4 linked regions of the Rhinolophus ferrumequinum genome follow. The protein of the gene in region 1 interacts with the protein of each later gene in a pairwise test. Links are inferred from orthologs where the notes say so. Each region holds a gene or a part of one and is shown in the gene's direction. Other genes may lie near its edges. The genes, in order: FBF1, TUBGCP4, ACCS and CINP.

Region 1 (7,799 bases):
ATAATACACCTCCATATGCCCTTTGTCATGCTTTAGCAACTCTGTGTTTTGGGCCAGTTGGTTTCATCTGAAACCCCCACCCCTTCCTCCCGAGGATTATTTTTTGAAACAAATCCAAGATAACAGTTAATTTTGTCCATAGATATTTCAGTATGTATCTCTAAAAGATAAGGACTTTTTTCAGAAACATAACAATACCATTCTCACACCTAAACAAATTAATAATAATTCTTTAATATCATGAATTACCCAATGTCCAGATTTCCTCAGTAGGCTCATTTCTTTTTTTCCCTCTTCAATTTCTTTGGATCATGATCCAAATAAGGTCCAGATAATTTCTTGATTAAAAGTATGCTCTTTTACATTGCAACTTCCTGATGAGTCATTTTCTCTCTCCCTTCCTCACAGGTCCATGAATCTTACTACAAGCACCTGAAGCCCCTGCAGTCCAAGCTCTGAATGTCATGACACGTTTTATCTGCTCCAGGAAGCAGCTGTACTCTTCTACTCCCCTTATACCTGTCACACAAATCTGCGTGGAATCTTGATCGAAATCAGAGAGCGATAGAACAGATGATAAATTGATCCCTTTCTTCTTTATTAATGAAGAAAAAAATGAAGAGCTTTCAGAGATTAAATGAAAAAAATAGATATGTTTTAAGTGCAATTAACACTGAAAGAGACCTGTCAAGCATTCAGAAAAAGCTTTAAGAAATACAGTATGACGTCCATTTGTAACGCTGCTGATCCCAGTAGGCCATAACTTTTGATAATTAGTAGAATTTAACTACTAAGTAGTTAATTATTATCACATCTTAGTTGCTAATCACTGGATATATGTGTTTTTAAGCAAAGATACACCCCTCCCAAGCTTTCCTGTTAAACGCCCTACTGCTCCTGCCATGGGCCCTGACTTAAAAGCAGGACTGCAGAAAACGGATTGGGGGAAGGAAACTAATCAGAAAATTTAGTGTGAGTTTGTGCTTAACACATTTTCTGCCTGCTTGCCCTTGGTTGCTGACATACTGTTTCTGTTTGCTCATGGTAGCATTTTTCTCACAAGAATTTTTTCAGCATAGGCCTACTGCAGGATCATTGTCCTGTGTAACTGGGAATTAATCTTCCATTAGAAGGATCCCTAAATTGTCACTGTAGTAGCAACTTCTTGGGAAGGGGTGGGTAGCAAAATTATTTCTACATAGGACTATTGGCAACTGATGGAACCTGTCGGTGGCATTTGATCTCCCTCCCTCCTTGTCCCTTAACCTCTCCCGAAAGAGATAATGAAGAAAGAAAGAAGAGTCACAGTTCCTTCCTAGTAGAATAAGTGTAGGGAGAGCTCTCAGTTATGGTTACTGTAACTTCGGTGACCATATTAACTGGATATTCTGGAGCAATTCTGATTTCATGTCATTTTGGCATAAACCATTGCAATGCTTGGAGTTTATAGTGCCTGGCATTACAAAAGTAAAGCATCACTCAGGTTACCTCTTACCACCAGGAGTAGCACACAAAAGTCCTTTGACAAACCATGTGTTCTGGTTTTTGGATCAGAAAACATAATCATTGAAACTATGGCTAAAGGACAAATGGAAGTTCCATGGAATTATTTCTTATTATATGTTTGGCTTTAGTTTCAGTATGTTTCTAGGAGCTTTATCTGAATTGCTAAATTGTCCTTTCAGCTGAAATCTAATTTACACAATCATTCTATATTTAGAGGGTAAATGTGTACCTCTTAGTGAATTTTATTCTTAAAATCAATGCAAAACAACATGTTACTTGATTTTTTTTTTTTAACCTGTTAACTGTATCTGTGACATCTGCCTCATGAAACCGTTGTTCTAGAATCAGTCTTGAGAATGTAGTATAACTCAGTGGAAATACAATTCCTATCTTGGGACCTGACATAAAATCTTATTCCAGTGGAACTGGTAATATGAGTATTTTAGGTCCAGCAGAAATACTGTCTGTTGACACAAGCCTTAATCTTTACACCAGGAGAATTAATTGATAATTGTCTTAAGATTGAAGTAAAAAGCACTCTGTTAATCTCATTTGGCACATCTTGACAGCTCAGATTCTGGGAAATAACAGAAAGTAAATATAAATTGTTTAATAGTGACCTGTTAAGTGTAGAATTGTTTCAAAATCAGTGGTTAAGTACTTTACTCATAGGTGAATACCTGTAATCAGCACCTGAGGGTGTTTGAAATGACACCCATCTAATCTAGCTGCATAGATCTGGGAACTATCGTAGCAGATTTGAACAGGTGGTAGATACAACAGAGCCACCTTTAGTCCAGCACCTAGTTTTATTTAAAAACTAAATCTGATATTTGAGACTACTTTTATTAACATTGTAATGTTTTGTCTTGAACTTTATTCATTGTGATCAAAGAATAAAGATGTAGTAAAACCTCACTAATTTGCACTATCAAGAGGGAAAGAGTGTACCACATAATTAAACATAAGTTCAAATTACGAAGAATTGTAAGATGGAGGCTTAGGAAGTTTAGGTAACACTAGGAACAAAAAAAGGAAGGAGTGAGACCTGCTGGAGCAGATAGCGCTGAAATCCACCTCAACTGCTGTCGTCGTCACAAAGGCTGAGTGCTCTCTGGTCGATTTCTGAGAATTTTTTGTTGACTGCTACAAAGCACGCAGGTCGTTTGCTGTCCCTCAGAAGCCAAACTTTGCCGTAGATAAGTCTGGTTGTGTTGTGTTGTTTTGTGAGCCGTTTTCACAGAGTACAAAGATAAACTTCACCCTGACTTCTCCAAAATGATGATAAATATTGAGTAGAATTAATGAGATTTTTCTACTAGATAATATCGATACAAGCCTCTTTTAAAAAGTACCCATAATTGAAAATTTGAGATTTAATAGGGATGATTTTGCTATTTGTAACAGATAAAGGTTGATTCTTCCTCAAGTGTTTGGAGTTCTGTTTTATGCTCTATGAGACAGTGACCTCTATACAGTTTGTCCCAAAGCCTTGGGGCCCTTCATGGTCTTGTCTTCAGAACATAACACTGATAAGTCTTAGTTTTTCTTCAGAATATTTGCTTAATTGCAATATATTCATGTGTTTTCTGAGAACTCACTTGTAATTTCATGTATCTGGAAGCATTTTCTAATTCCTAACGTTAACATGTCAGATCTTAATTCTTGGTTTTCTTCAGTGCGGGGCTTTGGCTGGAGAAATATAACTTCAAATTCATGATCCTAGAGATCCCTGGGGAATTAAATTTCTTTAGATAACTGCTGCTCAGGCCCTCCTCCCCCTTTCTGAGTTCTTTGCATCCATCTTATTAGGAAGGAAGAGAAGAGATGCCGATGGTCTGTAACACCTGCTAATCTTTTTAAATATGTGGAAGGTATGCCTTGGGGTTTCAGGGTGTCTTCAAGCAGTAGCTAGTTCCCACTGCAGCCCAAGAGGAGCAGTGTCAGGAAATTGATTATTCTACCTGAGATCAAGAGTCTTGTTGATTCTCCTGACTCAGATAAAGGTTTTGATCATTTTAATGGAATAATGTGGAGGTCGTTTGAGCTAATTAAATATTTACTACTACATTCTTGGAGGATTAGACCAAATCATGTAAATGACTAAAATGATCCATTCTTTCATTTTAACATAGTGGTGGGGGAGTTCTGCTTTTAGCTCTCCACACTTATTAATTTTTCAGTAACTATTCCTGTGGTCCATGATAGTACACAGAAACATAAGGAAACTTAGGAGTTACCAGATGTTAGCTGTTGCAGACCTGCAAATTACTAGATTTCAAGGGGGTTTTGTTTGATTTTGCCTTAAATTTAAGTGGGCCATTCATTATCTCAGAAAGATCATGGAAAATTAGGAGTGATTTTAAGAATTCTGAACCAAAATAAGTTGTTTTGCCACAGTACTGTTGATTTTCATAGATTAGATAAATACGTGATCTTCCACATAATACTCAGACTGCTGACTACTTTGTAAACACCACTTTATTTACAATTGCATCTTTTAGAGGGTATAATTACTTTGCCACCCTTCCTCCTTTTACTGTTGTGGTTTGAGTTTGGTTCCTACCTGACGATGCATTTAGTATGTATTGTTACCCATCCCTGGCTGGACCCGTCAGTGGGGGTGGGAGTACAAGGAGGTTCACGGGTTCTGGTCCTGAGGGTCCTGAGCGTGTGAATCATGGTTAGATGGCAGTGACCCGCTAGCACTGTTTGGCCTTCCGGTAAGCCAAGCCATTAATCCCTTTTTCCTTTGTAAAATTGAAAGACCGTTAATAAAATCTGTAATTAACACAAAAACTGTTACATGTTTTCATTGCTTACGTTGTTGGGTTTTATTCTGGCTTTGCATCTTTGATTTTCTTAATTGAACAGAAAGATCTCTTCCCTAAGCTTAGGAGTGGGATAAATACATAATATCGTTTCACACATCCATCTTCCAATCTTAACACGTTTCTCATGCCTTCCACCCTGCCACAAGTCAGCCCTCAGGAGAGTATTGGAGGGACTTTTAAGCGTTTAGTCTTGGAGCCCAGGCCTCCATGGAATGAATGGCAGGAGGAAGAAGTCCGCTGGCCTCGGAGACTGGACCCCTCTTCCCAAAGGCGTTGAGGCAGCCCCTAGCAACGGGAGGAGCCACGAACAGAGGACCGGCCCGGACTAACGGCCGCGGCGTGGCACCCTGGGAAATGTAGGTACTTTTGGCGTCCCCTGTTTGCTTGGTTCCGGCCGGTGAGCGGGCCTCGGACTACAACTCCCAGGATGCCTCGCGCCTCGCCTTGTTGTCGGAGGCCGGGCGACTGAGAGATTGGTGTCCTCGAGGGTCCGAAGCGGGAGGTCTGACCGAGCTGGGCTCTAGAGGAACCCGGACCAACGGCCATGGCTCGGACAGGTCCCAGCTACTGCTCTCCGGAAGGGAATAGCTCGTAACCCAGGGAATTTCAGGGGCTAGGAGGATCGTAGGCTGCGCTCGGCGTCTGGATGGGCTGGGCGCGTGCAGGGGATGACACTTGGAGGGGCGCGGAGTCTCAGGACCGAGGGGGTGCCTCCCGAAGGGTCCTTGCTAAGGGGAGGGCTCTTGCTAAGGGGCGGGCTCGGGATTTTCAAATAACTGGCACGGAGTTGGCTGAGTAAATGCGACGACGTGGTAGTTCTTGTGGCCCTGTGGCCTTCGCATACATCTCAGAGATTCTCGCGGTCTGGGAGGCTGGGACACGATCGATAGGAGATGACTGGAAGTTCCAGGATGAAATATGAGACAAATCGTGTTTACACTTCTAGGTCGTGAAAGTTGCCATTGCAGAGAAAGAGAAACAAACATTCAGAGTGGCCCCTGTATGTAACCCCCAGATGAACTTTGCAGTCTAATAACAGAACAGGCCATCATCAGAAAATAGAGATGGCCCCTTCCGACTCCTTTCTTCCAAGGCGTGCCAAAGGTCGGTACCAATAACATTGAGGAGGGGGCAGGGGAGAATGATAATTCTGGGGAAAACAGTTCTCTGTAAATGGGGTGAGTCGGATTTAGTTAGTGTGAAGGAAAAATTTCCATTGTTGGTGAAAACATTGTCAAGGAATAACCAGCACTCACATCAGCTGTTTGTGCCAAATGCTGCCTAGAAAGTAGTCATGGGTGTTGCCTGGAAAGACGTATTGGCCATAGGGCCAGGCACCACCTCCTTTCTGAGGTGGGTACCTGTCCTCTCCAGCATCCTGTTTCAGGGTAGGGGATGAGGAGCAGTGAACTTTATGCGGGTAATCTCCAGGCCTGGGAAAGCTCAAGTTACCCAGAACACTTTGCTTTTCATGTGAATTGCTCCCTCTATGAGGAATTTTTAATTTATGGAAATAAGTTTTGACCTCTCTAATGGGTAAAGTGAGAGAAGCCTTGACAGGCCATGGACTCAAGCATCCACTTTAATTTTCTTCATTAGGGAGCATGGGCGTGATGGGAGCAGAATTCAAATGAGTTGGACAGCGCTGTGCAGGAGCTGCAAGCAGCCCCGAGAGCCTGGAGATGGTAGGCAGAATGCATAGTAAGACGTATGGAACTGTGAATCCGTCCCCACCCCCAGCGTCTTGACTGCATGGAGTGCTGAGGGGGCTGGATGTGGTCCCTGGAGAAGAATAATGGGACATAGCATTGATATCAAACTTTTTATTAAGCAATGAGCAAGCATTTCTTCTGAGCCTCTGAATGTCCAGCTGGAATCATTTTTAAATCTGTCCCTGGTATTGAGGATTCGAGGACATGGAATAGAGGAAAAGATTCAGTCTCATTACATCATGTCTGGGAGGGTTTGCGTGTGGCATCTGGAAATCAGAAAAAAAGAGACTTCTGCCCGTGAAGGGTGCGCCCACAGTAGCAACCAGTGCTAGTTAGTGAGCACTGTTTTCATGCTCTTGAGTGAGTCTATTCTCAGAAACTCTAGAAAAGTATAAAGGGCCTCTTGTCTCTAAATGCCATTGGTGTTCCTTTTTCCCCTGGTGACTTGGCAAAAGGCAAAGCAATCCATTCTGCGTTCTCGGTTTCAACACATGTTCATAGTTTGATTTTGTTCAAGTGATTTGTTTTTCCCATTTTAGGCACCAAAAGTCAAGAAAGGATTGAAAGGTGAGTGGCGAGATGGAATATCATCCTTAAGCCAAAAATATTTACCTCACATTGGGTCTAAAAAGAACTCAGGCTTATGGGTGTCTGAATGTTCTTAGTGTGTCTTGCTGGAGCCCCCATAATTCCACAGGGAGCTCTGGTCTATCTAGGGGACTCCTTATGCTGCCTGATTGGCCCTCAGAGTAATACAGAGCAAGGGACGGGACTTGGGAAAAACTCCTGCTCTTTGGGCTCTGTATCCAGAAGTACATGGATGGAGGTCAGGAGTGTGAAGGCTCGTAAGCGGATGTGAGACCTAATTCAGTACTCGCACTTGGGTTTCCCCACATGCCCCATCAGAAAATGGCCGAGGAAGAGTGCCTCCAGACCAGTTCTGGGGGTCTCAGATGGAAGGGTACAAGGAGACTATCAGTATGAAAGAAGCTTGTATGTGCCTAGAAATCTTGGACACTTTTCCCGAAGAAGCACACTGGGCTTTGTTCAGAGCCTAGAACACGGGCTTGATGGCCAGTGTGTCACGTAGAACTTAGGTTCTCCTGAAAATCTTCACCATCATGCTTTGAGAAAGTTATTTTCAATTTCTACGCTAAGGTCTTTCAATAAGGCGTTGTGACTTGTTACTAGAAAGTTAGAAAACATCTCGTGGCCAGTGAAGAGAGAGCTAAGCCTACCTCTGAGAGCTCTGAGGTTCTGGGGGGAGGTCTCAGGAGGTGAGGCTGTAAGGCCCAGTCTTTCTTCCTGAAGTCATGATGCCACCCTTTCTGTTGCAGACTCCTTTGATGATGTCCTTGATGACCTCCTGGGGGATGAGAGTAAGTGCCCCTGTCCCAGAATCACCTGATTTAGGCTTGTTCTTTTTTCTTTAATTGAGATATAATTCAAATATACTCTTTAAATATACTCTATATTTATATATGAATAGAGTATATTCAAATATACTCTATAAAATTTACTCTTTTAAAGCATACAATTTAGTGGCTTTTAATATAGTCACAAAGTTGTACAATCATCAGCACAGTTCCAGAACATTTTCATCACCCCATAAAGAAACTCCATACTCATTAAGCAGTCACCCCTCTGTTCTCCCCTCCCCTCAACCCTAGGCAGCCACTTTTCTGCTTTCTCTATGGATTTGCCTATTCTGGACATTTTATATAAAATGGAATCATATCGTATGTGG
Region 2 (7,200 bases), on another chromosome or scaffold:
CTCATCCTCAAAGCCCCAGGGATCCTGTTCCACCCAGCTTCTCTCTCTCCTGGATGGTAACAGATCAGCATGCATTCGTCTGTCTCCTGTGTGACTGCCTCTTGGCAGTTCCTTTTCCTTGGAGCCTACATCTGGGATCCAAGACTCTCCTCGCTCCAACCTGGAGACCACACCGGATTTAGGAAATGGAAATCCTGCTTGCAGGGAAGCAAACAAAGGATATCATAGTTTGGACTGACCATAAAAAACATCTTTGAGTTCAGACCTGCCTTTTTTTACCCAAGAGACTTATAAAGAAAGTGTCTAAGGAAATATTTTCAGAAAGTTCAGTGGGTTGAAGAAAGGGAAAAATACATGAAACCAAAAAATGAGAACTATTTTATTTTCCAAAGCAGGGTAGCAAGAGAGGAAAAGGTTTTGTTGGTATGTTCAGAGCAGGTAATTCTGTTCCAAGGTGCTCCCTAGCCCTCCTGGCCTCCTGTAGGCAGGTCCTAGCCCTGCTGGGAACAGCCACCTCCTGTCTCCTGTAGTTCTCCACTTGGGGCTAGAGAACTAAACTCATAGTGATTTCAAGGGGAACAGAAGGAAGATGGTCTTCAGCCCATCTGTTTCCTTCACACTCAGTCACTAAGTTCTAAAGGTTTTTCCCTTAGTATGCCCTTTCCGTATTCCTACTGCCACCATCCAAGTCTTACCTTCTCACACCCAGATAACGGTCACTGTTCTACCAAACTCCAGGCTCTTGCTTCCTCAGCTCACATACGTACTATACTGCTGGACCTTAACCTGAGTGCCCACTATGCACTGTCCATTCATATCAGAATCTTCCCCTATCCCAATTTAACCCACTTCAAGAAGCTGTATTTGCCAAAGCCCCCTTGAAGCCTTCCTACAGCCCTCCCTTATCTCCCACTCTGTTATACTCACACAATTGAGTGACAAACCATTGTTTGACATTGTTTCAGTACAGTTCAGTTCAGCACATATTTATATTTGCTGTTTAGTTCTCAATCATATTGTAAGCTCTCTGAGGATAGGCATCTTTTCTTATTGCAGAATACCCTGCAAGGTGTTGAGCACATGATAGGTGTTCAAAAACTGATTAATTCTGCAAGTCTGTGTGTGTGTGGTTGAGGGAATGCATCTGAATGACTAAACAGACCATTACCAAACTGGCTGAAAAGGCTGGCGTTTTGGCCGATAAGGTCAGAATTCAGAACAACCTCAATAAGTTAAAGAAATGATCAAAGTAAAAAACTTACAATTTGGAGTTCAACAGAGTACAAAGAAGAAAAACAAGCTCTACGCAGTCATGTACAAGAATAGGCGCTAGGCACAAAGACAATGGGGACGGCTACGAGAGTCCTGGGAGTTACCAGGTGAACAATAATCATCAAAGAATTAGTCGAGCTACTCGGAAAGAAAATACAGTGAAATTTTGAAGTAAAATTCTTACTCTGCCTCAACCTACCAGACCCTCACTGGAATAATATATCTAATTTAGTTCTCCACAATTAACATATTTGGAGAACTTAAAAGTTTCCAAGGGAGAGTAACAAAAACAGTATGTCTGAATAATGGAGCTTCTGGCGAAAAGTTTAAAGAAACAAATACAGTTTATTTTGGAGAAGGAAAATGACTAAAAGATGTACCTTCAAATATAGAAAATAATTTTTACCTAGAAAATACTGACCTAGTATCATTACCAAGAGGAAATAAAATAGTTCCGAGTTCTGAAAGAAACTAGGGAACCATCCTCTGGCAGACTTATCAAAAGAGGAAATAACAAGAATACTTACTGCAGCAGAGCTAAACTACATGCCTTCAGGAGGTCCCCAAAAACTGCATACTCTACAATTTTCACTCATTCTTGAAATCCCTTTCCCACTCACTATTCCCAACCCTACTTCCCAACTTAGAATGGCATCCTATCTTCCCATATGAATCTACTCCTCACCGCTCCTTTGCAAAGGTCTGAGCTTCTCCTTTGGGTTCATCTGCTCCTGCGGTCCCAGGTCTGGGCTTCTTGCCCTCTCTTTCTTGGGTACACCCCTGGGCTGAGGTTCCACTGACTCCTGCCGAACACTTAATAACTCTCGTGATGATTTCAGGGGTGTCATCTTCTCCAAGCGCACTTCCTGCCCCTTCACAGAGACTGTGACCTAGAAACAACCCCCATTAATTGTCACTGCAAGGTCATAATGAGGGGCATTCCCAGAGGAGATTATTTAATACCCCAAAAGAGACCATCCTCTTGGGACATGGCTAGGGTTGGGTGAGGGGTGTTAATAGTGAACAAGGGTCATTCTTATTCTGTTACTGTTAGCTTAGAGCAGCCGGAATTCCGGAAGGAAAAGATCAAAACAGTAAACCCAACTATAGGCTAGAAAAATAAGTCCACTTTCTTCCTTATTAAGTAAAAAACTATGAAACTATGAATAATTCATTATGACAGGGTACCAAAGGTACACCCAAGTAGCCTCTCTAGATGATCTGTGTCTGAAAAAGTTACCTGTTCCAGGATCAGAAGTATAAGCATCACCACGGGAGATTATGCCCCTCTTTAAACCTGTCTATACCTTAATTTGGCCTTTTATCCTTGCCCCAGCCCAGTTCACACACTTCTGAATTCCCCCTCCCTTCTCACCGAACGTCCAGGTCTTCCAGGCTCTCTTTCTAAATCTTCCACCAGAGCCACAGCCTCTTCTCCACTTTCTGGACATTGCTCCTGTACCCACTTCTGGATTTCCCCAGGTAAGATGGTCAGGAATTGCTCTAGCACCAACAATTCTATAATCTGCTCCTTGGTGCGCACCTCCGGCCTTAGCCACCGACAGCAAAGTTCCCAGAGTTGGCTGAAAGCCTCACGGGGCCCAGCTACCTCCTGGTAATGAAATTTCCTGAAGCGCTGTCGGTAGGTCTCCGAGTTAGTGCCATTTCCTCTCAGAGTGGGTTTGGCCATCATTCACAGCAGAAAGCAGCTTCCCTCCACTTAAGGGTCTGGGTTCCAGGGCTTACACCTATCTTCCCATGTCTTTGGAGAATTACCTGCAGATGAGTCTCTCTCTCTTTAAGAAGAGTGGCCTCCTAGGGTAGAGAGAGAGGGCACTATCAGAAGGAATATACTCATATGTCTAAAGTCTTGCCAGAGCTGGCCCGACTTTCCATATATATGCTCCATGTGGCCATCTGAGGCATCATCAACTCCAGGACAGCAAGCCAAAACAGCATGGAGAGAAACCTTTCAAAAGCTGCATTTCTGGGCGACTTCCCAGGGGAGCCCGGGGAAGCAGCAAAGAGTTGTCTGCTCCTCTTCCACCTCCCCCAAATCTGATCCCACTTAGCTCCCTTAACCAATGTTGCACAATGAGTTTGAACCATATGGGAAACCTGGAGCTCAGAGGATCTAAAGGCAAGTCACCATCGTGTTCAAGGCAACAAAAAGCCTGTGTCCCGCGGGTCGCAGGTGACCTCACCCAGTACCTCCGCAGTGCTTCCCGAGGCCCTCTACGTCCGCCCTGCCCCCTTGGACACCACAACTGGCAATACCCACCCCAGACAAAAATCAAGTACTGAATCTCGGGTCTTTGTTTTCCCTCACAGCAGAAGTAACCGCTCAGCAAAACATTCGGGAACTACTGACGGGAGACCTCGCGCATTGGGAGAAGTTGGTTTTGGCTTCTGACGCGAGGGCCGGGTGGGCTTGGGGAGAGTCGCACTGAGTTGGTGGAGAGGAGGATTCTGAGGGGGTAGTAGTAATGGGTCTCCTGAGGACGAGCTCGGGTGCCGGCCGGAAGATCCGAGTGCTGCGAGGTTAGCGGGCGCGGAGTTCAGCTCTAGGAGCGGCTGGTGCGGGGTTCCGGCCTCTTTGTCTTCGCTCCCTCCGGCCAGGTCACTCTCAGAGCCGTCGTGCAGTCCCCTCCAGAGGCCCCCAACCCGGCTAAGGCTCTGAGAGCACCTTCCGGTCCATCCCCGGGAGTGTCTCCCTCTAGGGCTGTCCCTCAACCCACTCGCATCTATGTCCGCGGGCCAGCCTCACCCACCCGGGGTCGGCCCCAGGCCCGGCAATCCAGCCTCCTAGTCCAGCTCCAAAACCGGAAGTCCGAGTGGGTGACTCAGGCGCTGAGGGCGCATGCGCAAAGGCAGCTACCAGGACTCTCCGGCGGAGCCGGGGCTGGAGCTAACGGGGAACCCAGCAGAGCCGGCGCACTTCCGGACGCGGCGCGTGGACCCCTTTCCCGCTCCCTGTGCGCTCCTCCCGCAGCAGTCGCGGCGGGTAGATTCAGGAGGAACCGTAGGTCCCAAAAGCCTGTGCACGTTTCCAGAAGGGAGCATTCGACTCTGCGGTCGCCTGGAGAGGCGCTGGAGGAGGGAGCGACGTATATAGGGACTTGAGATCCGGCGTGGGAATGATCCACGAACTGCTCTTGGCTCTGAGCGGGTACCCAGGGTCCATTTTCACCTGGAACAAGCGGAGCGGCCTTCAGGTCTGTCCGGCTCAGAACGCGGAAACTGACGGGAGCTGAATGGGTAGACCTGAGCCAAAACGTGGGGGAATTCTGAGGGACTGAGGGGGCGGGCCTTGCAGGGCCGAGGGGCGGGGGGAATGGCCCTGCTCAGGTACTGGAGGGCAGTGCCCCGAGGGGCCTACGGCTGACGTAACACCTTGAGAGGGCTGGGCTTAGGCTGGGAAACGGAGGGCAGACCCAGAATGACCCCGCCTTCGGGGAGGGAGAGAGGGAGCCCCGAATCCCGCTTCAAGTTGAGGTGTTTGAGCGAGTTGCTGGGCAACTGGATGTAAAAGTGAAGGAGGCACTTTCTCCCATTTTCTCGCTTGCACTGTTTTAAATTGAGTTTTGAAAGCTAGACCAGAGGATAACACACAATAAAGGTTCAGCCAATTTTGTTGCATGAAAAAAAATGAATGATCATTTCTCAGGAAATTTCCCTCATGATCATTTCTCAGGAAATTTGTGCAATAGGAGAACTTGGAAGGGGGCCTTCCTGTAACCAGGAATGCATGAGGAGGAAGGGCTGTGTACTAGATGCATTATCTCATTTACTCTTCATAACCACCTAACTCCACACAGATAGTAATGAGCAAGCTTGGCCTTGAACCCAGGTCTGTCAGGCGCCAGTATCTGAACTACTCTTGTACTTCTGCCTCCAGTAATGTTATCTAATCCTCTGGATAAGTTAGTAACTAGGTATTGTTAGCCCTAGTTTACAAATGAGCAAACTGAAGCTCAGAGAACTTTTATGGTTGGTGGTTAGTCCTGATAATGGCAAGAGTTGTAACTAGCTCTGTCTAATGACAGTCATGCCTATTCATATGAGACTTGGCAGAATAGGCTGGGGAAGAGCAGAAAAATTATATTTTTAGTCTATAAAACCTATAAACCAAACAGATTCCTATTGTTATTTATTTTCCCCTGTAAAACTAGCACAATGCCAGGCATATAGGAGGAAAATGTTCAGGAAGTATTTGTGTGTGCTTTATGATCTGAAGTAAAAAGAGATAACAATATAGAAAAGATAGCTGCCTTCCTTTCTTATAAAAAAGTTTCCATCAGATGTTTTCCTCAGGGTCTCAGCTTTAAAGTCACCTCAGAAAAACTTTCTCTGACCATCTCTTTCAGTATCCTCCTCCCCTATGCCATTATTTTCTATCACAGCAACTTGTTTTTTTCCCTTAGAGGACTTAACCACAAGTCATATTATTTATTGTTGTCACCTCTTCCTAGTCTTTTTCTTGCACAGATTGCCCATGGAGGCAAAGACCACAGTGGTCTTCATGGATGTACCAGAAGCACCTGGCACAGTTTGTGCCACAGAGTAGATATTTGTGTAAAAAAAGGCCACCAAAACCAGTAAATACTGCATACTTTCTGCAGAGCAGTGGTTTTCACATTGAATAAAGGGGAAAATTGTCATGAATGCCCAATGTTGATAAAAATCATTTTATTGTCATATTGAATATGTATACATATTACGCTAAGTATAAACTCAAGCATATTGCTCTCTTGAACAGCTATAAAACCAAATATTTTTACAAAGTAAGCAAAACTACCAAATTTACCAATTCACATTAACACTGGCACTATTGACATTTTGGACAGGATAATTCTCTGTTGTGGAGGGCTCTCCTGTGCATTGTAGGATGTTTAGTAAAATCCAAGGCCTCTGCTCACAGGAGGCCAGTAATACCCCGAGTTGTGGCAACCAAAAATATCTCCAGCCATTACGAAATTTCCTTTGGGGGGCAAAATTGGCCCTGATTGAGAACCAGTGATATAATGTGACATATACTGTTGTTTTGCTGAAACTAAATCACCAACATTGAATTTAATAGTAGAATGACTTTGCCACAGATCTGGCTTTATATTTTCTGTTTTGACTTCAGTAACTCTAACGTAGAGAATGCCTGTTCATATAACTAGGTTACACCAAATGATATCAATAACTTCAAGGTATTGTTTGCTGTTATAGAATAACTAGACCTTCAGCTTTTCTAAAACTGTGCCAAAAAGCACTGCTCAAAATGCCAGTTTTAATGGGAGTATCACTTGCTAGCTGGGTAGAGCTGTCCCAATAATAAAACTATTGCTTACATATATTGAATACTTGTTATGTACTTGGCACATGTGATGTACATGTCATAACTTATTTAATCCTCACAATTATTATCGCTGCGTTATAGGTATGAAAACTGAGGCATAGAGAGGTATTGAAATCTGCCTAAGATTTCAAGCAAGTAAGAGGCAACTCAGGGATTCAAACCCAGACAGCCTGGCTCCAAAGACCAGGTTCTTAAGCACTACATCATGATGCCTCTGAGTTATTAATTTGTGGATATGGTTATCATTGTGTTATTAAAATCTACATTAAGGGGATTCCTAATCAAATTATTATGGACTCAGAAACAGAAAAATTCTTCTTTGCCTATTTATTACCACATTTACTGTCATAGAAAGATGGCATCCACAAAATACAATACTCACTATACGAATGTGCAATATGCTAAGCTCTTTGGGGGTAGCAACTATATCTAATCTTGTTCAATATTTAATTTCAGAACGTTAACACAGTGCCTGGGATAAGTAAGTTGGTTGATTCTCCAAAGAAGATATATAGTGGCCAATAAACAAATGAAAAGATGATCAATATCAGTAATCATTAGGGAAATGCAAATCAAAAGCA
Region 3 (7,870 bases), on another chromosome or scaffold:
TAACAGCAAACAGTGGGCTCCTTCAGAAATGGGCTCAACTGACCGTGTCATTACCCTCTTTAAGCTGAGCATCTGTCATTTTTAGAAGCCTTGCCTCTTTTTCCTCTTTGCTAGCCATTGTGTGTGGGCACAGAATGATTTTACGGGGTTAGGCTGGGAAAGGCTAGAGAAATCAAGGGAGCTCTCTGCGTCCCTACTTAGATGCCTTTATTTTTGTAATCAATACCCAATAAATTCTGTATTGTCTTAAATTCCAGGCCTGTTTTATTTCTTCCTCATTCGTCATAATCACCCTTGGGAACTCTTTAACCTGTTTGTCCTTCTATTTTTAAATTCTAAGGCAGGTTGTATGTGAAAAATAGTGAATTCATTGGATGAATGAGGGAGGGTATGGGACCAGAAAAGAAGGGGAAGATGTGAACTAGAGATGCTCTTGGAAAACTCTGTAATGGTAGTTAATAGACAGTCCTCCAAGGTAGTTCGTTATACACATATCACATGTACGAGTATGTCCTCAGAAAAGATAGCCTAAAACAAAGGCAGCCAGTGCCCCTGCTTCCAAGACAGGCAATAACATGAGAGGCCCAGGAAGAATCATCTCCTGACAGTATCTGTGACCTTGCGAAATTCACTTATTAGCCCTTATTGTTTTGGGGGGATTTATTTGAATTTTCAATGTACCCAACCATGTTGCCTATATAAAAAAAAGATAGTTTTCCTCCTTCCTTTTCAGTATTTATTTCTTATTTTTCTATTCTAATTGCTTTGCCTAGAACCTCCAGCACAATGTTGGAAAGTGAAGAGAGGGGACAGTCTTGCCTTGTCAGTTTTAGCAGGATTGAGTTCAATCTCTTAAGTATAACGTTGCTGTAGTTTTCATACTGGCCTTGACCAGATAGAAAAGTTTCCTTCAATGCTAGTTTGCTGACAGTTTTACCATGAAAGGGGTTCAGTTTTGTCAGATGTTTTTATTTCTACCGCTAGAGATAATATAATTCTTTAAAAATTATTAATATGGTAAATTACATTGATTTTTTTTAAAAAAAGGTTAAGCCAATGTCATATTCCTGCCATAAACTCCAAATAGTCATGTCATTTGATATTAAGAATTTTACATCTATTTTCATGAGGGATATGGTGAGATATTTTTATATATATATATATATATATAAATATAAAATATGTTTTATAATGTATCATTGGTTGCAGTGTCCAGGTAAAACTGACCCCAAATTTTTGGGAAGTGTTCCTTTCTCAAAATTCTGAAAGTTTGTGTCAAATTGATTTTTTTTAAAAAATATTTAATTGTTTGGTAGAATTCACCTGTAAAGTCATCTTTTGTTTTCTTTGTGGAAAGGTTTTTACTTTTTTTTTTTTAACATAATTTCTGTAACAGATATAGGGCTATTCACATTTCCTATTTCTTGTCAGTCTTGGCAATTTGTCTCAAGAAAAATTTTCCATTTCATTTAAGTTGAATTATTGACATATAAGGGAATGTTGAAACAATTCTATCCCTTTAATATCTGTAGGATATTATAGTGTCCATCTTTTTCTTCGCTGATATTGAAATTAGTTTTTTGATCAGTTAATCTAAATGTTTATCAATTGCATTGATCTTTTTGAAGAGCCAACTTTGGGTTTCATTGCTTTTTCTCTGTTTCTCTTCTGTTTCATTTTCCACTCTTTATTTCCTCTTATTTGCTTTGGGTTTAATTTGCTCTTTTTCTGGCTTCTTAAGGGGAAACTTAGATCAATGGTTTTAAGCAGTTTTTTTTTCCTAATATAAGCATTTAAAGCTATTGATCTCTCTTCAAGCATTGCTTTAGCTACATATAATTTTGATGTGTTGGGTTGTTACGATCATTCACTTTTCTAATTTCTCTTGTGATTTCTTTTTTTAATCTATGATTTTTCTAGCATATGTTACCTAGTTTCCAAATATTTGAGGATTGATTGTTTAGCTATCTTTGTTAATGATTTCAACTTTAGTTCCGTTGTGACTAGAGAACATAAACTATGATTTTAATCCTTTGAAAGTTATTGAGACATGTTTATGGCCAAGTATATGGTTTATTTTGGTCAATGTTTCATATACACTTGAATTGAATTCCGCAATTATTGGGTGTGTTGTTCTACAAATGTCAATTAGGTTAAATTGTTTTGTAATGTTTAAATCTTCAGATCCTGTCATTTTATCAATCTTTCTATCACTAAGAGAGGGGTGCTAAATTTTCCAACTATAATTATTGATTTGTCTATTTCTCCCTTTTGTTCTCTCAGTTTCTGCTTCACATATTTTAAATACTTATTATTAAAGGTATAAACATTTAAAAATCATTATCCAGGTGAATTGAGTATTTCATTATGAAATGTGTTAATTTTTGGTAATTCTTTTTGTTTTGAAGTCTACGATGTCAGATATTATGAACATGTCAGCTTTCTTATGTTTTCCTTTTTTGGCTATTAAAATACACCTAACACGAAATGTACCATCTTAACCATTTTTAAGTGTATAGTTCAGTAGTATTAAATACATTCACATTGTTGTGCAGCCAACCACCATCCATCCCCATAACTCTTTTCATCTTGTAAAATTGGAAATCTATACATATTAAACAATAATTCCCCATTATCTTCTTCCCTCAGCCTCTAGCAACTACCATGCTACTTTCTGTCCCTAAGTACCTCATATGTGGAATCATACAGGGTCTGTCTTTTTGTGATTGGCTTATTTCACTCAGCGTAATGTCCTCAAGCTTCATCCATATTGTAGCATGTATCAGAATGTCCTTCCTTTTTAAGGCTAAATAAGATTTCATTGTACGTATACGACATTTTGCTTATCCATTCATCTGTTAATAAACACTTTGGTTGCTTCCATGTTTTAGCTATTGTGAATAATGCTGCTATGAACATGGTGTACAAATGTCTTTGAGACCCTGCTTTCAATTATTTTAGGAATATACCCAGAAGTGAAATGGCTGAGTCATATGGTAATTCTATTTTTAATTTTTGGAGGAGCCTCCATACTGTTTTCTGCAGCAACTGTACTATTCTACATTCCCACCAACAGTGCACAAGGGTTCCAATTTCTCCACATTCTTGCTAACACTTATTTTCTGTTTTTTGGATAGTAGCCATTTTCTTATGATTGTTATTTGCGTGGCATATTTTTTCCAATTTTCCTTTAATCATTTGTTTTCTTATTTAACAATGTATCTTGCAAATACCATATACTTGAATCTTTGTGTTTTATCCAGCCTGATCTTTTCATTGATCCTTAGTCATTCTGTTTAATGTAATTATTAATATGGTTGAATTTAAGTCAACTATTTTGCTATTTGTTTTCTATTTGTGTCATGTGTTCTTTGTTCATTTTTTCTTCCTGCCGGCCTTCTTTCAGATTAATCAAACATTACTTAGTTTCCCATTTTATTGCCTTTTTTGGCTTCTTAGTTATTTATTGGCTTCTTAGTTATTTGGCTTCTTAGTTATGGCTTCTTTTGATTTAAAATAAAATTGTTCTAGGAATTAATACTATATATACATTTCCAACATCTGCAGGAGAAGTCCACAGTCCTTATCACAGTTTATTTACAAAGATTCATGACCTGACCCTTGCTTGTTTCTATCTCCAGCCTTTCTCCCAAACCTGGAAAACTCCAGAGGTACTGGCTTTGTACTGTACATTAATGTTCTCCACTGACTCTAACCTTTAAGGGCCTATGAAAATGTTCCATCTGCTCTAACACCACCTTCTACCGCCCACACCCCACCCCCTTCCCCAGCCAGCTAGCCAACTAGGACCCATCCTTCAGAACTCAACCTAAGTGTTGAGGGTGAATGGACTGTGTAGGGCTTCCCATGTGGGGCCAAAGCATGTGTTTGTGGGGTGGGGTTAAAGCATACCTGCTATATGCTTCCATGGCACTCAGCAATCCCTTTCTTAACAGTTATCATGTGTATGATCAACCATCCAGGCCTGCTGTTTGATTTGCCCATAGCTGTGTCTCAGGATTTTGCAGAGATCGGACACAAAACAAGCAATAAAACTACTTATCTGAATTAAATGGAACACTATGGCTTAAATGGAGAAAACTGTCTTATTTTACAGAACAAAACACTAAGGATGGAAAAAGTCATGAGAATTGCTCGAGGTCAAATGGCAAAGCTAAAGTGAAGACAAATGGAGTGGTCAGAAGACAGCCAAGTCTTCCCAGCCACACTTGTGTTGAAGGAATCTGCCGATGTCCTTTCATGAGCAAAGGAGACTCAAGGCTCTGCGCATGCCTGGGCCCTGGATCATCTAACTCACTGCCCAAGCCCCAGAATATCTAGGGTCATGGCAGAATTTAACAAATGTTCCATAGATAGAAAGGAGGAGAAATTACAAACTCAGGTGAAAAACTCCCATACGGGAAGGATGTTTTAAGAAGGCTCTCGCCTTAATATGGAAAATCTTCTCCGTGGGCCACAACCAGGCATGTATTTGCCAAGAAACCCCCGTGGCTCTAGCGGCCTCAATATTGGGGAACTGAGGCCCGGAGGCAGAGGAGGGCGCCCCCACGAGCCAGCTGGGGAGACCAGGGCGAGGAGGTGGCCCCAGGAGCTCGGGCAACAGAGCGTGGAGATGGCAGCGGGCTACTCGCGCCTCTCAGGGGTCTCCGCCCTGGGCTTCTTCCCCTTCTCCGGCTTCTCCCGGGGCCTGGGCTGTCAGCGGACACCGGAAGGGCCGGGGGAGCCCCGGTCCACCCTGTGCAACCGGGTGTGCGCGTGGTATCCTGCAGGCCACACGGAGGCGTCCTCCGGCCTCAGTCGCAAGGGGGCGAACTGCTCTTTTACCAACCCGGGAAGTCACGGGGCGCAGACGTTCCCCAGCCCCCAGTCCGGGAGCCTTAGGGCTGGGTCGCCCGCGCAGAAAGCACCGACACTGACCTCGCGTCTCCTGGGTGTCCACGTCGCACCTCCAGCTCGGCCAGGTCGGTGTGATTCCAGCTGTGCAGACTAGGAGCCCACCCTTTGTGAAGGGCTCGAAGACTCTGTCCTTCCGTCTCGAAGCCCTGTGCTCCAAACACACTTCCTCCTCTTGGAGCCTGGAGCTGTGCGGAGGACCGCCGCCTGCAGAGGCCCTGGCGCTTTCCTGGCCGCCGCGATCGCTTCACTGGGTGGGGGGATCTGAGGCCTGGTCGGACTGTGGACTCAACGCTGCTCCTCCAGAAGCCGGAGCCCGCCCTTGGCTCCCGCACGGCACAGTTCACCCCTGGCCCCCGGCTGCGCGGCCCTTGGCCCTTCCACTGGCCTGGGCTCCGGAGGTGCCCAGCCAATTCGGGAGGACCCCAGAGGCGACTTTGTGGAGCAAAATTTAATCGGGGAGCCCCAAAGTTTTTAAGCTGCTGGCTGGTCCCCCATCATTTGGTGTGTCCTGAGTTATTTGGTGGGTGGGGCTTGTGCGTTAGGACTGGGAAAATTTGGGAAGAGTTATATATTTTACTGAACTTTGGCCATGAGCCAGGATTTGTTTAAGCGCCTTATCTACACGAACTCATATACTTATATCCTCACTGCTACCCTATGAAGTAGTTACGGTTATACCCATTGTGCAGATGAGGAAACTGCTTTAGAAAGTGGAGGAGCTCCCACCTGCTCTCAGGATGAGACCACCCAATCCTGGCACCCATGCCTCCCACCACTGGGAGGGAAGAGCGGGCCTTGGAGCTCTGCCTGCGTGCCTGCACTTGCAGAGATCCCCACTCTCCACCCGGTAGGCCCCACCCAAGGTTTGCTTCAGACCATCTATAATCTCATCCCACCCCTTACCCCGATTTACATCAGTCACGATAAGACCTTTTGGGACTCCAGGCTTTTTCTACTTTAAGCCAAAAAAATTCTAACCTGGGTTTTTGAAATTCAGGTCAGCAAAAATGGGAAAAGACAATTGGTGACCCCTTAGGCTGCAGAATGAAAAACCCAGAAAAGTAAAACAAACACCTATATAGTCAAGTCATATAAAAGTAGCAAGCGCAAACCCTGGCACGGAATCCATCCTTAACAGAATTTGCTTGAAGGGATTGCACACATGGTTACAACTAGTCAGGGACACGATGCAGTTAGTCCATAAAGTTAAAGGAAGGGCAGATAAGGAAGGGGGAGGGCCCCATGACTCCCAATTCATTTTTGGGGGGAGGGGATGAGCGATGGCACAGCTCCCAGTGGCCCATCTGGGGATCTAACCGGCAACCTCAGTGTTATTAGCACCACACTCTAACCAACCGAGCTAACCAGCCTCCCCCATCCCAATTCATTTTTGCTGGCTTGGTCCTGTGGAAAGTCCTTGATCAGGCATTAAGTGCTTTTGTCTTTTTGCAGATGTTCACCCTCCCTCAGAAGGAATCCGGGGCACCTACTACCTGTCTGGACCCAGCTTCCACACAGGGCCTGGGCAGTAACTATGGGGATGGTCTGGGAAGAGACTGCGCCAGAAAACCAGACCAGAAGCTGCCGAAGCTCTATGGAGTGGGAGATCCCATCGCCACATTCTCCTCTGACAGCTCCCACCTATCCTCGAGAGGAAGAATCATTAAATGGTTTTGGGACTCGGCTGAGGAGGGCTACAGGACCTACCACATGGATGAGTATGATGAGGATAAGAACCCCAATGTGAGTGAAGCCCTCCTCTCCAATGAAGGACTGCAGGGTGGGATACCCTACCATGACCAGTAGGGCGGCAGCCAGTTTGCTCTTGTCAGGTTGGACCTATTGTCCTCTGATCTCCAAGAGGGCTTCTGATTGTAGCTCAGAGAGGCCCTAGTTTATTACCTGGATCAGAAAATGACCCAGTTATAATTAAGGGGACCTTGATTTGTGAGGAATTCAAGAACCATGGAATGCTCTAATGTGGATTCTGACCCACAGTGTATCAACTATTCAACTTTAGAGCTGGGACGAACTAAGGCTCAGATCGCAACTGTTACTCTTAGGGGTTGTGTATTCTTGAGCTAATTATTTAACCTCTTTGGACCTCAGTTCATCTCTAAAATGAGATAATGAGACCTGCTTTTGTAGAACAGTCACAATTAGATGAAATCAGGTCTATAAAGTTATTAGCACGGTGCTTCCACATAAAGCATTCAGTAAATGATAGCTGCTATTATTATTAATGTTATATGTTAATGTGTATAATGTTATCATAGATATATAACATTATCGTTAGAATAATTAATGTTATTATAAGTTATTAGTAATACTTTCAGAGGGCAGAGAGCTGTCACAAACAACCTTTTAATAATCTTTATTTCTTGAGCATCCCCCAGGGGCTGGGCACTGTTCTAGATGCCAGGGTTGTAGCGGTGAACAAAAATAAAGCTTCTGCCCTCATGGAGTTTATAGTCTAATGGGGAACACCATATCTACATATGGTGGCAAGTGTTATAGAGAAAAAGAAAGCAGTGTAAAGAGGATAAAGTGATGGGGTGGCCTGGGCATGTTACTATTTTATGTGAGGTGATCCCAAAAGGCCACTTTCATAAGGTGACATTTGAGCAGAGACCTGAAAAAAGTGAGGGTTTTTGTTAGTTATCGGTTGCTGTCTAATGAATTACCTGAAATCGTAGCAGCTTAAAACAAACATTTCACAATTTCTGGGGCTCAGGAACCTGGGTGGTTGCTTCAGGCTAAAAAGCTTCCGTGAAGTTGCAGTGAAGCTGGGGCTTCAGTCTCCTCTGAGGACTTGGCTTGGCGGGGGGAGGGGCCCGCTTTCCAGCCCACCTCCATGGTTGTTGGTAGGACTTAGTCCCTTACCACATGGGCTTCTCTGCAGAACTGCCCCATGACATGGGCTTCTCCCCCCAGAACTTCCCTGGGGGAAGCC
Region 4 (7,326 bases), on another chromosome or scaffold:
AAAGTGGCCCCTCTGCCCCCCGAGCACTCTCTCTCACACCCTCTCTCCATACACCTCTTTCGTTTCTGTTGACTCACCGTCTCTGCCTGAGCTCCTCCACCACCACCCCTGGTCTGTAAGCCCCACAGGAGCAGAGCCCATGTCTGCCTCACTCACTCCTCTAGCCGCTGGCACCTAGAAAAGGCCAGGCACATCAGAGATGCTCAGTAAATATTTACTGAATAAATGAATGAGTTATAAAACAGGAACATTTGCAAGGAAGGAATTAGTGACACGAATGGAAGAGCAGCAAAATATGATCTTTTCTCCAATGATTCAATTCAAACCTGGAATAATAATCTCCCCTCCCGCCCACCCCCCCAATCTGTACAGAATATGCCGTTTTCCAAGAATTTTCAGATTCCTACCTTGCTTGGTAGTCACAATAGCCAACACAGAGAGATAAGCGGGGTCATCTCAGAGAACTTTTCTACAGGTGACAAAAATAATCATATCCCTCTGTGATGGTTAAGAACACCGACTAACACACCCTCTTTTAGCAGAAGTTGAAGCTCTGGAAGATTCAGAAATTTGCCCAAGGTCACACAGTTTTAAGCGCAAGGAAAATCGGGATGGTGAACTCTGGTTCTGTTCATACAGCAGCACAGTTCATAAATGTATAACTTTTTAAGAACAAGACCAATCCTTGGTTTGTGCGAGTACTCCAGAAAGGTGGGCAAGACCAACGTGACCCAGAAATCAAATGACAGCAAAACGGCTGTCAGGGCTGCTGGCAGACACCCTGGGAAAGCATGTAGGTCATTTAAGGACGGGACACTAAAACCAAAATGACAACAATAATAATAGCAATAACAGTAATAGCTAACACTATGACTTAATAGAAACTGTCCTTGCACACTAACTCATTAAATCCTCACAAAAAACCTGTGAGATAGGCACGATTGCTATCTCCATTTTACAGACAAGGAAACTGTTCCCATTTCAACAATCTCAATCCAATTTTTAAAGTTAATAATGCTTCCTTGGTCACAAACATTTCCATTGAAAATACAAAACCCCGCTCCACAATAGGCCAGGAGGCTTCCCCCCCTTGTTAGTACCATCGACCCCCTACACCAGGAAGGTGGCAGCTCACCATGCTGACTGACGGCACCCTAATGCCATCTTGGCAGGCAGTTTTCCAAAACTGGAGCTAAGACAAACAAAATCTAGTCCAAATCATTCACTTAGCAGTTCAGCGGCCATAAGTTGCCAGAGCACTCTGACAACTCTAATGGTTTAAGGATTTTCTCCAAAATCTCTAGGAAGTGACAATTAGAATCCTGGTTGTATAATCTCTTTTTAAAATCTGGCTACAACACCTAGTCTTTTTTCTTTTTTTTTAAATTGGGGAATATTGGGGGACAGTGTGTTTCTCCAGGGCCCATCAGCTCCAAGTCGTTGTCCTTCAATCTAGTTGCACAGGGCACAGCTCAGCTCCAAGTCCAGTGGCCGTTTTCAATCTTTAGCTGCAGGGGGCGCAGCCCACCATCCCATGCGGGAATTGAACCATCAACCTTGTTGAGAGCTTCTGCTCAAACCAACTGAGCCATCTGGCCACCCCTCTGGCAGCTCAGCGGGGGCTTGTTGTCTTCAATCTAATTGTGGAGGGCGCAGCTCACTGGCCCATGTGGGAATCGAACAGACAATCCTATTGCTCAGAGTTCACGCTCTAACCTACTGAGCCATCGGCTGCCCCAACACCTATTCTTTTAAGTGTTAAAATCTTATGGCTGAACATAATGAGATTGAGGCAGCTTTTTATCTTCCAGATGAAATTTTGTAACTTCCTTGGTCCCATGCCTGCTGATAAGCCACTGCTCACAAGCTAAAGCCTGATGAAAGCACGGAAGTAGAACATTTTAAAAAACATGGTCTGTATCTAGCTCCATGCCAGGCTGCTCCTCCTTCCACTCTATGCTGCAGCCACAGTGGACTTTCCACCACAGTCCCCGAACACACCATGACCTGTATGTCTTTGCAAAGTCCCTCTCCTCCCTTCCCCATGGACCTACACAGCTTGTAAGGACTAGTTCTCCACCAGGAAGCCTTCACAGACTTCCTCTGACACTTAGTGGGCCTTTCTCTGCTTTCACAGAACGCTCTGAGGGCAGTGACCACAGGGCACCGTCATCGTTTGTCTCTGTACCCTTCAACGAACTCCTTCCGGTCTTTGCTTCCAGTCTACATACTTCGTGGTGCTGCAAAAGACCAGTGAAAACACTGGGCCAGAAATCCCACAGTACGACAGCCCAAGATGTAAGACTACTCTACCATAGTTACTGTCATCATTATGCAAAAATGCACTGGTCTGCAGTGCAGGGCCAAAGAATACACTCATTTAAAAGTGAACACGCACTTTGAACAATAGCTCACTTCTAACTACTCCCTGCTGATTCTACCACGCTCCTTGTACTGCACGAGATCCAGAAATCTCTTATGTATGACAACGAAGCTTCTTTTCATGTAACTGTTTCCTGATCTGCTCTTTCACTTTTCCATGCTCAATCAACTGCTCTGCCCGCTGCAGTTCCTTCTTTTTCCTACTAAGTTCCAGCAGCCATTCTGTCCAACTATGCAGACAGATGCTAGCTACCATGAAATATTACCTTCCTTAAACTCCAAGTGTAACTTCTCTAAGAGAACACTGCAAAATCCATTTTTCCATTGAAAAAGACAATGTGGCTACAAAGTAACTTAAAACTAACAAAAGCTACCCACTAGTCACTCCTGAAGACTATCCTTAGCAGGTCTTCCCCACCACCCCTCTCCAAGCCAGTCCTGAAAACTGAAGCAGAGCACCCCTATGCCTGTACCAGCTGGTTCTCTGGGGAGAAGCTCCCTGAGGGCAGGGGCGAGGTCTGCCTGGTCCACCACTCAATTCCTAGAGCCTGGCATGGTGGCTGGCATACAATGGACCCGAAATAACGACCTGGGATTAAGTGGGGTTACCAAAGAACAGCAAGGTCAGAGGCTCATCAGGGTGCGTTGTGGCTGAGTGTGAGGAACTATAAAAAGCCTTGCAGCTCAGGAGACACGGGTGACAAGGGGACACATGCTGGGATTTGGGTTTGGGGATTTCCCAGAAGTCCTTTCCTTACAGTTTACAAGGCGTTGAGGACAAAGAGGCAGTCAACCCCAAGTGCTACTGATCACTCCAGCAGACAAAGCAAATGTGCACCCAGGCTGGTCCCCCACATTCTGCCACCAGATGAAACAGAAGAAGCAACAGAACAAATTCCTGAATCTCAGTGCGAAAGTGAGAAAGAACAAAGACCGGGGAAGAGAAATGGAAGTAGAGCATGTGGGCAAGGACAGCAGCTATCCTTTCTGGAAATGTAGCGCCTGCCAGGCACTGTGTTTAGCACCTCACGTGCACTGACCTATTTAATCTTCCCACCAAGACAGAGGCAGAAACTACTATCATCCCCATTTTACTGATGATGAAACGGAAGCTTAGAGAAGTCATATCACCTGCCCCGAGCACACAGTTAGGAGGGGGCAGCGCTGTGACCTGAATCCCATTCTTGAACCTGCACGACCTATTCTGCCTCCCAGGCCTTAAAACAGGACAGAGAGAGGTTCATGTATCCATTTACCGAACGCTTACTGAGCAGCCCCTGGGTACGTGCCAAGGCCTGGTGGGCGGATGAAGGCACGAGGGCTGAGAGGGTCGGGAGACAACGCAACAGCGAGCAGAAGGCTAGGGGGCTGGAGCCTCGAGGCCGGCGGGCAGAAGGGGTGCAAGGGTGCGGCGGAGGGAAGGAGCGGTGTGGGAGGAGCGAGGGGCGCCCGGGCCCGCGAGGCGGAGGGCCCGCGGATGGGGTCAGCGGGCCAGCGCAGCACAGGACGGGAGGACGGCTGCTCGGCTCGGCGGACCGCCGGCTTTGGCCTCACGTGTTACGGCATTCAGCCTCGGCAACCCAGCGCGGGAGAGACGGGAGCGGGGAAGGGGGGCGAAAGCGGCCGGGCGACCCCGAGGCGCTGAGCCGAGGGAAGGTTGGTCCGAGGGAGGCGTGAGCGGCGGCGGGGAGCCAGAGAAAGGGGCGCGGGGCCGGACAGCGGGGCCGCCAGCCGCGTCGCCGGACTCACCTCCCGCGGCAGCCCCTCGGGATTCCTCGGCCCCGCCGGGCGGGAGGAGGCGGGGTTGGACTCCGGGACGCGGGGGCTGCCGGGAGCCCGTTCCCCGGGCAACCGGGCCGGCCCCGCCGAGCGACAGCGGATTCCGCCGGGGGCTAGAGCGACAGAGCTACAAGTGGAAGCGGGCGGGGCGCGGCGGAAGTGATGCGTCCAGCTTCCGGCGGCGTGGGCGGGGCTTCGGGTCTCTTTCCTGGGATATCGGCAGACTGCATGGATGGTGCGTAAGACGGGCCACTTCCCCGGGGTGGGGCGGTTGTGGGTGTCACGGCGTGGACTGCGGGCCGGGCCTGAGGCCAGGAGCCTCCCGGGTTGAATGGGGTCCGTGCGTTGCCCCATCCCAACCCTCTGGCCCCGCGCGGGCTCTGCAGTGGGTCCGGGAGCCAGTCAGTTTTTCCGAGCATCAGTTTTTTCACGTATACTGGTAGAACGAGATGCTGCACCCAAAGAAGTGTCAGCAGATCCTGACATTCAAATTTTAATTGTCATTATAAAATAGCATTAGCCGAGCCCTTTTCTTGAACTCTCCTCAGTCGGAATTACCAGCCACAGAGCTTTTTGCCTGTAATAAAAGCTATCATTCAGCGAGTGCTCACTATGTGTCAAGGAGCGTTCTAAGTACCTTACGTGGATCAGTTCATTTGAGCCTCGCAGCGATCCCATGAAGTAATGTCAATTGATGGGGAGCCGCGGCTCACGGGATAAGTAATGGAGTCAACTACTGTCCCTTACCTCACTCCACCCAGTCCTGTGACTCTTACTGGTCTGTCCTTCCTACTAGCTTGTGAGATGCTTGAAGGCAGAACTGGTTTTGGTTCCTAAATTTGTGCTCGATGTGGGGCAGACAGATGATGAATCAGATGTGGTCCTCACCCTTAAGGACCTCCTGGGGGAGAGAACCCCTTAGAAGATTATATAGTGTAGGTGATAAGAACTGTTTCTCCATTTAATACATTTTATTCAACACCTACTGTGTGCTGAGGTTATGAGAGGGAACAGGACAAGTATAGTCCCTACAATGCTGGAACTTACAATCTTAATGGGGAATATAGACATTAAACAAGCAAATCCACTACACTGGTGAGTGTCATGATAGTTGACGTGCAGATGTCTAATGCAGTAACTCCCAACCCACCTTGGCGTTTTAGGAGGACTTCTTTGTGGAAGTGACTTTCTAAAAACCTAAATCAGATCATGTCACTTTCCTACCCAAAGCTCATTGCTCACTTTCCATTGACTTGGAATGAATAAATCCAGACTTCTTATCTCAGCCTGTAAAGTTCTAATTGTCTAACTGCTTCCCACTTTCTACTCCTGTTCTCTGTTTCATTCTAGCCACACAGGTCTTTTCTTTTTTCAAACTCACCAAGGCCTTTCTCACACTAGGGCTTCTCATTCAGGTCTCAGCCTAAATGACACCTTTTTGGGGATCACTCTAACACAAGAGCCCGTTTTATTTTCTACATGGCACTTAAAACGATCTAAACTGACCATGATAATCTCATTGTCTGCTGTCCACTTCCTCTTGGGAAAGTAAGTCCCATGACAATGGACCTGGCCTGTCTCATTTACTTGCTTCATCCCCCATGCCTGACATATTGTAGGCATTCGACTAATATTAGTTAGTCGTATAAGTAAAGAATGAATGAAAAGTCAGTATGCCATTTAAAAGCAGAGCCATAAATATACTAGGAGTTAACTGGGTGACTGGGAACACACACTGACAGGAAAAATATTTCAGATCAAAGTCAGAGCAAGTGGGAGAAGCTGGAGACGTGACGGACAGGACTTAGGTCACAGAGGCTGTGGTATTATGGTTTATAATAAATAAACGTTTGGTCTTCATCCCATTCCTGGCACAGAGCTCCTAAAACCCATGGCATTTCCTAAGTGGTAAGAGTGGTAAAGGTGTTCTTTTGTTATGTTAATGATTGACTTTTGGAATGGCCCTAGGTCATCCAAGGGTGGGGGATGCTTATCTGGGAACCTGCCTTGTGATTAGAGAGTTGAAACTTTTAGTCCTAACCCACCAACCCCCACCTCCAGGAAGGGAAGTGGTGCTGGGGGTTGAATCAATGACCAATTATCTAATTAATCATGCCTATGTTATGAAGGCACTATAAAACTCACAAAGAAAAGGACAGGGTTCAAGAGTTTCCAGGTAGGTGAACAGGTGGGGACTCGGGGAGAGTGGAGCACTCAAGGAAAAGGAAGAGCGCCTCTTCCCACACGCCTTGCCCTGTGCATCTCTTCCATCTGGCTGTTCCTGACTTATATCCTTTTATAATAAACCAGTGATCTAGTAAGTAAAGTGTTTTCCTGAGTTCTGTGAGCCTCTCCAGCAAATTAAACTCAGGGGAGGAGTCTTTGGAACCTGCCATCTATAACTGGTAGGTCAGCAGGTGACAACCTAGACTTGTGAGTGGCTTCTAAAGTGGAAGTGGGGGAGGGCAGTCTTGTAGGACTGAGTCTTTAACCTGTGGGATCGATGCTCTCTGCAGGTAGATAGTGTCAGAATTGAGTTTATTGCTGGTGGTGGTGGTGGTGGAAAAAACACACTGGAGAGGTCCTTGTGGTAACAGATACTCTGTTGATTACTTGCCATTTGCCAGGCCCTCACAACTTTATGTATATTATCTAATCTTTACATCAACACTTTGAAGTAGATATATTTTATCCCCATTTTATAGATGAGAACATTGAGGCTCTGAGAGGTTAATTAACTCGCCCAAGATTGCACAGCTGGTAGTGGCAGAGCTGGGTTCTAACCCAGTCAGTATGGTCGTCAGAGTCTAGACTCCAAACTGTACCACTGTTGTGTGTGTCCTGGACTCCTGAAGGGACCTCATGGAATTTGGTCTTCATCCTGTGGGCCAAGAGAAGCTTTTAAGGGGTTCTAAGTGGAGAAGGAGAGAGGGCACAGCAGAGCTGGGAGAGCCCAAATGGCCTGAGTTGGCTTTTGGTGTTCTGGGGGTTGCTTTCCACAGGAGCTGGAATCTGGATGAGTCTTAGAGCCTGGGCAGCACTCACCCCAGGAAGGAAAGAACTTTCTACCAGAAAGAACTGCATGTGCAAAAGCCTGCAGGTGACTCCACTTATCCAGAAATGCCAGTAGTTCCTTTTAGCTGGAGATTGAGGGGGGTTCCAGGC

Evidence for each region.
Region 2: the proteins of FBF1 (region 1) and TUBGCP4 interact in a two-hybrid assay, tested with the Homo sapiens proteins (2 studies listed by BioGRID and IntAct). The two-hybrid records come from large-scale screens. The link is inferred for Rhinolophus ferrumequinum from reciprocal best matches to the Homo sapiens genes FBF1 and TUBGCP4.
Region 3: the proteins of FBF1 (region 1) and ACCS interact in a two-hybrid assay, tested with the Homo sapiens proteins (2 studies listed by BioGRID and IntAct). The two-hybrid records come from large-scale screens. The link is inferred for Rhinolophus ferrumequinum from reciprocal best matches to the Homo sapiens genes FBF1 and ACCS.
Region 4: the proteins of FBF1 (region 1) and CINP interact in binary tests that used the Homo sapiens proteins (3 or more experiments, as listed by UniProt). The two-hybrid records come from large-scale screens. The link is inferred for Rhinolophus ferrumequinum from reciprocal best matches to the Homo sapiens genes FBF1 and CINP.

The regions. Positions count from the first base shown.
Region 1 is NC_046304.1:50,761,034-50,768,832, reverse strand, and holds the start of FBF1 (fas-binding factor 1), read left to right. Parts: upstream 1-4,789; 5' UTR 4,790-4,897; intron 4,898-5,286; 5' UTR 5,287-5,444; intron 5,445-5,939; 5' UTR 5,940-6,022; coding exon 6,023-6,025; intron 6,026-6,591; coding exon 6,592-6,619; intron 6,620-7,389; coding exon 7,390-7,431; intron 7,432-7,799. UniProt on the Homo sapiens protein: Keratin-binding protein required for epithelial cell polarization. Involved in apical junction complex (AJC) assembly via its interaction with PARD3. Required for ciliogenesis.
Region 2 is NC_046289.1:62,429,784-62,436,983, reverse strand, and holds the start of TUBGCP4 (gamma-tubulin complex component 4), read left to right. Parts: upstream 1-4,190; 5' UTR 4,191-4,409; coding exon 4,410-4,487; intron 4,488-7,200. Other genes in the region: ZSCAN29 (zinc finger and SCAN domain-containing protein 29), read right to left, coding at 1-197, 1,958-2,162, 2,648-2,965. UniProt on the Homo sapiens protein: Component of the gamma-tubulin ring complex (gTuRC) which mediates microtubule nucleation.
Region 3 is NC_046294.1:16,465,371-16,473,240, reverse strand, and holds the start of ACCS (1-aminocyclopropane-1-carboxylate synthase-like protein 1), read left to right. Parts: upstream 1-5,011; intron 5,012-5,259; exon of another isoform or gene 5,260-5,323; intron 5,324-6,366; exon of another isoform or gene 6,367-6,369; coding exon 6,370-6,660; intron 6,661-7,870. Other genes in the region: probable inactive 1-aminocyclopropane-1-carboxylate synthase-like protein 2, read left to right, coding at 4,485-5,011. UniProt on the Homo sapiens protein: Does not catalyze the synthesis of 1-aminocyclopropane-1-carboxylate but is capable of catalyzing the deamination of L-vinylglycine.
Region 4 is NC_046289.1:2,522,806-2,530,131, forward strand, and holds the start of CINP (cyclin-dependent kinase 2-interacting protein), read left to right. Parts: upstream 1-4,308; 5' UTR 4,309-4,323; coding exon 4,324-4,396; intron 4,397-5,322; exon of another isoform or gene 5,323-6,566; intron 6,567-7,163; exon of another isoform or gene 7,164-7,261; intron 7,262-7,326. UniProt on the Homo sapiens protein: Component of the DNA replication complex, which interacts with two kinases, CDK2 and CDC7, thereby providing a functional and physical link between CDK2 and CDC7 during firing of the origins of replication.